Linked DNA regions of Arabidopsis thaliana. The protein of the gene in region 2 interacts with the protein of the main gene of each other region in a pairwise test. Each region holds a gene or a part of one and is shown on either strand. Other genes may lie near its edges.

Evidence for each region. Proteins that work in one complex are often made in the same cells at the same time.
Region 1: the proteins of AAT1 (region 2) and CNGC10 interact in a protein complementation assay, tested with the Arabidopsis thaliana proteins (one large-scale study listed by BioGRID).

The regions. Positions count from the first base shown.
Region 1 is NC_003070.9:133,852-137,606, forward strand, and holds the start of CNGC10 (cyclic nucleotide gated channel 10), read right to left. Parts: upstream 2,074-3,755; 5' UTR 1,857-2,073; intron 1,472-1,856; exon of another isoform or gene 1,419-1,471; 5' UTR 1,366-1,418; coding exon 1,337-1,365; exon of another isoform or gene 1,268-1,336; coding exon of another isoform or gene 1,254-1,267; coding exon 731-1,253; intron 651-730; coding exon 438-650; intron 356-437; coding exon 60-355; intron 1-59. Other genes in the region: AT1G01350 (Zinc finger (CCCH-type/C3HC4-type RING finger) family protein), read left to right, coding at 2,881-2,965, 3,084-3,755. UniProt on the Arabidopsis thaliana protein: Probable cyclic nucleotide-gated ion channel.
Region 2 is NC_003075.7:11,268,285-11,272,039, forward strand, and holds the start of AAT1 (amino acid transporter 1), read left to right. Parts: upstream 1-1,700; 5' UTR 1,701-2,033; coding exon 2,034-2,442; exon of another isoform or gene 2,443-3,680; intron 3,681-3,755. Other genes in the region: AT4G21110 (G10 family protein), read left to right, coding at 335-490. UniProt on the Arabidopsis thaliana protein: High-affinity permease involved in the transport of the cationic amino acids (e.g. arginine, lysine, histidine, citrulline, valine, and glutamate). Transport mostly basic amino acids, and, to a lower extent neutral and acidic amino acids.

The sequences.
Region 1 (3,755 bases), on a different chromosome or scaffold from region 2:
AAAATCTCCAAATATAGCTAGTTAGTTATTGTCAACAGTTTTATGTGTGTCTTACAAACCTCAGATTTCGAAGACCCCACCAGAAGCAGTAGAAGAATTTCTTCCAGAAATCATGTGATTCAACAACGCCACTCTTAAGAGCATCAGTGAAGATGCCAAAGTTGAAGATGGTTGAGTTTGTTATATCACCAGGGTCGAGAAATGGGCAAGAAGTGGTCAGGAAATTGTTGCTAACGTTACGATCGTTTTCACAGTAGAGGAATTTCATATTACAACCTTTTGTCTTCTCGCATGCCTCTTGCCAGCATCTGTCTTCTCGTTCTACTGAGATTAAGTACCATAAAGCTCCAAACACCTGAATAAGTAAGTTTAACATATAACCTTTAATATGCATTTACATGTATAAAGATTCAGTCATCAAAAGATCCGAAACTCACATGACTGGCTAACATATAGAGAGAGAGGTTCCAAGCAGCTCCAGCCCATGCTGTTTCAGTAACAATGCCAGATGTTCTTGTCACTTCAGTGTAAAGCGGATACATACGGAGAATCCGAGGAACATATTGAGCAATTATGGAAAATTTAAGGTAGTCTTTTGTTAGCAAAGAGACTGGCTGGTTGACGCTTGGAATAACGGCTAAAACTACTATCTGCAAAAGTTAAGAAGCCAGAGGATTCAAAAAGAAATGATCATTGACATTTTGAACAAGTAATCAAACTAGTCATTTACCTGTGGGAGAGGAAGGATAGAGAGTAGATCAATGATGAAGTAAGAAGAGAGATACTTTAAGGCTATTGCCTTAGCATCATCTACCAGTTCACCTCTTCCAAAAACCCGCGAAGAAGGAGCGATGTAAGCTGTCCTGAACTGAAACACAATGTGAATAATGTAAAAGGCATCGATGAGCGTACGAAGCAAACTCGCAGCTATCTCCAACTTTGAGTCCAAAGTAAGACAGTGCCTTGCGCTATCGACAATGGGAATGTAGAAAAACAATGGATCAATCGCCAAAGCAACCACACAAGCAAATAAAAATATTTTGTTCCAGTTCTGGAGAAACGAATCCTGCGGGTTTATGATGTTCTTCCGAGTAACACTAGATGTTTCCTTGTGGTCAGGATCCTTATGTGAAGGGAAACTCAATGGCTTCTTGAATCCCCATTTTACATTCTTGAAAACTCTATCTAAAGAAGGTCTAGCTTTTCTTCCATAACCATATTCAGAGGATAATGGTTTGCCTTCATCTTTGAACCTAAACAAAATCATAAGAAAATGAGATAGTAGAAAAAATCATTCAACTATGAACTGTTTTCAAGATTTTCTGTAACTACCAACCTTACACGATTATCATGGCTAAATGCCATCAGCCAAACCCTTGTATATTTCAACTGATCTTTCGCTTACAGGGTGACGAGTCCTAACATTATAATAAGAACCAAAACTTAAGACATACGAATTCTTCTACATGATTACGTACAATGATAATCCCCAATACCAATTAAAAATAAGCAAGTAGACACCTAACTACAAATACAATTGTGTTGTGTGTATGTGTTTTTAAATATTTCTTTCTTGAAAAGGTTAATTAGAGAACCTAGAATCAGTCAATTTCCACCTAACATTAGATTATACCAAATCCTGTAATTCCTACCCATTCCTGCTCAATAAATGGAAACCACACGAACAACTTAAAAACACTGTTCATCAAAGATAAGAAATCCAAATTTCAAAAAACCATTGACCATAAACGAAAGACATATATCTAAGCGTTTCGGTTCTGAGAAACAGCAAAATAAATTCAGACGAAAAAGAACAAAAACGGAAATCGGAATCAAAATTCTATCATCAAACTAACCTGAAACGAAGTAGGTAACGGCGAGATAGTAAGATTCGGCTAATAAACGGAAGTCGGTGAACGGCGTTTTCTTCAATTCAAGCAACTGGTCCCGTCGTCGCTGGAAAGAGAGAGAGACTCATATGGCGGTTACTTGTATCTCTCTCTGTATATTGTTTCCTGGAAAAGTAGTATATGAGAATTTTATTATACGACAAAAAGGGAGGGAAAGAGGAATATTATGCAATTAAATATTATAAAGTCTGTTCAATTGAAAATCATTTCATAAAACAATTTCATTCAGATGAATGACTTGGTCAAAGTCAGACGGCGAGAATAAGCAAGTTGCCAAATTTTAAGTACCGGGCCCATTATGAATATTGAGCCCATTTAGATTCATGACCCAAAATGAAGTAACCGCCCCACCATATGTTCCTTATTTCTTTTCTCTTCACACTGATTTATTTTCTGTCGGAAAATACGGACGGCGTCGTCGTTCTTTTTGACGGTGTAGCTCACCGGCGTCGATTTTTAGATTTTTTTTTAAGGTAACATATTCTTCCTTGTGTTTAATCTCCATACTTTTGATCTACTTTTCGTTCTTGTTTAGTCTTTAGTGTTGTTCGAGCTTTTGTCTCCAATTTCAATCAATTCAAAGGGTTTTTAGATTCCAAATTTTGTAGCTTCCGTTGACACATCGAGTTGTCGAACTGTGTTTCGGATTGATCTGTCTGGAGCTTCTATTTCTGCTTCCTTATCTACTGTGAATGAAATTGCCACCGATATAGATAGTTAGCTAGGGTTTATTCGTGAGCTCGCGTAGATGAATTAGGAAGAATTCAGGTGATCATTTTTATGTTGCATTGTCTATTATTGTAACTGAATCTGGAGAAATTTTGATAAAATTGTTGTTTGACTCAGTGCAAACAAATTTACAAGTTTTCAGGAAATTGACTTAATACTAATCTTGAATTTTGCAGGGAAACACTAAGCAGCAAATTACAAGTGGGTGATTTGTGTTTGTTACATAGTCTTATATCTAACTATGTCAGATTCTGGTGAGCCTAAACCTTCTCAGCAAGAAGAACCTCTACCTCAACCTGCTGCCCAAGAAACTCAGTCTCAACAAGGTTACATATACTTCCTTCTATCTCAATTCTAGTTGTCGTCTCATTGAGATTTTTTCTTGTTCTTCGTTGTTAGCTAGAAATTTTCATTTACACTAATCAAATCATTCTTCTGTTTCAGTTTGCACTTTCTTCAAGAAGCCAACGAAAAGTAAAAACATAAGAAAAAGAACCATTGACGCTGATGAAGAAGACGGAGATTCGAAAAGCGAAAGCTCTATTCTACAAAATCTAAAGAAAGTTGCAAAACCCGATAGCAAGTTATACTTTTCTTCTGGACCATCTAAGAGTTCTACTACAACGAGTGGAGCTCCTGAGAGGTCCGTCTTTCACTACGATTCATCCAAGGAAATCCAGGTTCAGAACGACAGTGGAGCAACAGCAACCCTTGAAACTGAGACCGACTTCAATCAAGACGCACGAGCTATCCGTGAGAGAGTTCTTAAAAAAGCAGACGAAGCATTGAAAGGGAATAAGAAAAAGGCTTCTGATGAGAAGCTGTACAAAGGAATTCATGGATATACAGATCACAAAGCTGGGTTTAGAAGAGAACAAACAATCTCGAGCGAGAAAGCTGGAGGCTCACACGGGCCATTAAGAGCTTCTGCTCACATAAGAGTGTCGGCTAGATTCGATTACCAGCCAGACATTTGCAAGGATTACAAAGAAACCGGATACTGTGGATATGGAGATTCGTGTAAGTTCTTGCATGACCGTGGGGATTACAAACCAGGATGGCAGATAGAGAAAGAGTGGGAAGAAGCAGAGAAAGTTAGGAAGAGAAATAAAGCTA
Region 2 (3,755 bases):
AGAATTGGTATTGTTGCTTTGTTTGGTGAAGAAATAAGATTTCTGGTAATTATACTTCGAACAAAGTGCATTGCCTCCACGATTTGCCAAATTTTGGATAGTTCTAACTTCTAACCATACTCCCACATCTTAATGATGGTCACTCATGAATCGTTTATTAACAAACTCCTCCCTGTCAATTCTGTTGCATCTTCTCTTTGTAGGTTATACTATCCAGACATATACCTAGATTTCACTTTTGTTTTCTTTCATTGAACTAAGATTTTGTCATTTATACGTGTCTCTATACTTTGTGTTAAGTAACTCTAAAAACTCTCTGTTTTGTGTTTTGCAGTCGGGATACGAACGTTTATGCTGCTTGCGCTGCATACAGCCAAGAGACCACAACTATGGAACAACATGTGTATGCCGTGTTCCCAAACACTTGCGTGAAGAGAAAGTGGTCGAATGCGTTCACTGCGGCTGTCAAGGATGCGCGAGTGGCGATTAAATTCAACATAGCTTTATTCGCTATCTCTGACTGTTTGTTACAATCTTGTCACTTGTTAAATCTGGATTATGTATTATTCCATAAAGGCTAAAAACCCTGACTAAAAATCTCCTTGCTCTTACTTATCAACTCTGGGTGGTATTGCAAATAAAAAGAACGTTCCGGTTTGGTATATAGTTGAAACTTGAAAGTAGAAAGACGTTTCCCGGTTTGGTATCTTACTGAATTAAAAGAGTGTTTTACTATTCCCAAAAGTGTCAATTTCTCTAAATTCGTGAGATTTGCAGCAAGTTTATCATGACGCCGTGAGTTATGTTTTGGTCAACCGGTGATAGAACAAGATATTATTGAAGCAGAAATAATTATTAATTCTTGTATTTATCTAGACGAAACTTGATTGCTTGATCCAAGGAAATTGTTTTGACTTCAAAATTGTATTGGTTCTCACTACAGTTGACCTGCCCCTATGTTTCCATGTGGAACAAGATTCTTCGTCTTGGTCATATGGATTAGTATTATTTATTTCTAATCTTATCGTGTAATGCATGTATGATGTATGTTCTAAACAAGATGTCCACCAAGGTCCAAAACGAGAAGAGATGCCCATTACGCTCGCTCTAGATGCTTTGTGAAACTCGATGGACTTTCTTCTCTTTAAACTCACATAACATACATACATGATCCAAAATCCATGATCGTTCTTTTTTTTTTTGGGTTCATTTTTCATGGTTTATTGGAAGCACAAAAGAAACCAAAAATAGGATCACAGTTCTTGGACATCGTTTAATACAAAACTAGAGGAAGTAAACATTAAAAAAAAAACTTGAAAAATTAGGGGAGGCTAAATCATTTTCTTGACGCGCTTGTAATAGGAGGAGCAATTGTGGTAAGTGGTTGGTGTGAATTAGAACCCAATTATCAACTAAGTCGAGTTTTGTTTAAAACCAATAAATTTCATATACAAGTTTGAAACTGAACATATAACTTTTTCTTTATATATCATAATTTTGAGTATAACGGATATAACATTTTACTTAAATGAGAAAGTACTATTGAATTATCCAGAAGACGTGATCCGATGGAAAAATTCGTATCACACATGATCTTTTCTTTTTATGGCACACCAGATTTTGTTTACATTTATAATTCGATTTCATCTTTTTCTTAGAAAAAATGGTCAAAGAATGCAGCTGGTGACCAACTAGTGACCATACAACAAGAACAAAATCTCATGGACTCTATTTAAGGTTTCCATAATTTAATTTACCGTATCACATTTCCAGCTAATTACACAAAACCGTCGATAAATAATTGTTTATAGAAAGAAATAAATACAAGAAAAACGTCAAAGGATAGCTACTATAAGTAAGGCAGACTTTAGGAACCCAAAATTCTGTTATTAATTTACAAAAACTAAAGAGTTTTTCACTTTTCAGTTTCTCTTCTTACCATTCACTCTAAAAAAACAGAGTCTTTATAAAACCGATCTCAGATTCTGAATCTGAATCAGAATCTGGATCAACATAATTTTCTAACAAAAAAAATGGCTTCGGGTGGTGGTGACGATGGGCTTCGTCGGCGAGGCTGTTCATGCACAAAAGACGATTTCTTACCGGAAGAATCGTTCCAAAGCATGGGGAATTACCTAAAAGCCCTTAAAGAAACACCGAGTCGGTTCATGGATCGTATTATGACTCGGTCACTAGACTCCGACGAGATTAACGAGATGAAGGCTCGTAGTGGTCACGAGATGAAGAAGACGTTGACGTGGTGGGATCTCATGTGGTTTGGTATCGGTGCAGTCATCGGCTCTGGGATATTCGTTCTCACTGGACTCGAAGCACGTAATCATTCCGGTCCAGCCGTCGTGTTGTCTTACGTTGTCTCTGGTGTCTCCGCCATGCTCTCCGTCTTTTGTTACACCGAGTTCGCCGTTGAGATTCCCGTCGCAGGTAACAAAATTATCATTTCCTCTGTTTCTCATTTATATTTATATTTTCGTTTTTTTTTTGGTATGTTATATTTATATTTTCTTGTTAGAGAATTTCTAATTTGAAAAAGTTGAAAAATATTAAAATTTACAAGTTTAAAATTTCATTTTTACATCTTTGAACTAAAGACGCATCTTAACAGATCCTATTTTTTTGTAACGTCGGTCATAAATATGCGAATTTCAAGAAAATGTTCAGACTATATTTTTTAGGATTAGTGTCATAAGTAGGAAGATAGGGAAAATACGTTTAAGCAGGCTAAGAGTCTCTTAGCTGGTTAAATTTAGTTTTAATTACGATTTACATGTTTAAACGAAACGCATATTTGAGGATATCTTTTCTAGCGATATTCTAACTATAGTGTCATCATAATTAGGGAATAGAAAAATGTAGCGTACATTTATCAAGATCTAATAAATATGCAGACGTATCATTTCTGACAACTTCGTCAATAAGAAAATATTCTACTTGATTCAATCATTTATGCTGGTGCATTTTTCCGGCAACTTAATCCTTCTTTTTTTGGTTCGGTGTCGATTAAGTTTTTGTCCCATGTTTTGGGAGTCACTAGTGGTTATGAGTCCTTTTTTTATATATCAGTTGCATAATTCACCTCAATACAACGACCAATAAAATATTCTGTTGATGTACAAAGAGTCAACCATACGATATGCTTTTAGTAATACTTCTAAACTCAACATTAATTAAAAATGTAGTTATTGTCTTACTTGTAAATTATTTAGGTTAAAACCAAAAAAAAAAAAACTATTTAGGTTTAAAATGTGTAAATGAATAAGATCAGCTTCTTTATTACAAAAATTACTATAGAACAAATATTGAATTTTCAACTCTCGTAGCGTGACGGAATCTCTGGGGTCAACTAGTTGACATCTGACTTATGAGGGTCGTTCACACTATCTAGTATCAATCTACTATTTATCCTCCGTTTTTTTCCTTTTAAATTTGATAGTAGCTACAATACTATCAAATCACAAATTAAACAATCGAATGATTTGATTATTATCTTAGAGTTGCAAAATATTTGTTGCCATTTATTAGATTGTTAGCTACTTTTAAAATTGTATTTAAAACTTTGTAATTTCACAATTTTAGTCATGGGGTCTACCTAGAAGACTTTTACATACAGACAAAGAAATTAAGCTAAACAGATGATTACTTACGTCAATGACCTTATATACGTAAGTCCCAACTATATAAGTCAAGCTTGTAAATTGCCTTTATTGACAGTTCAAAAGTAAATTAATTTAATATAG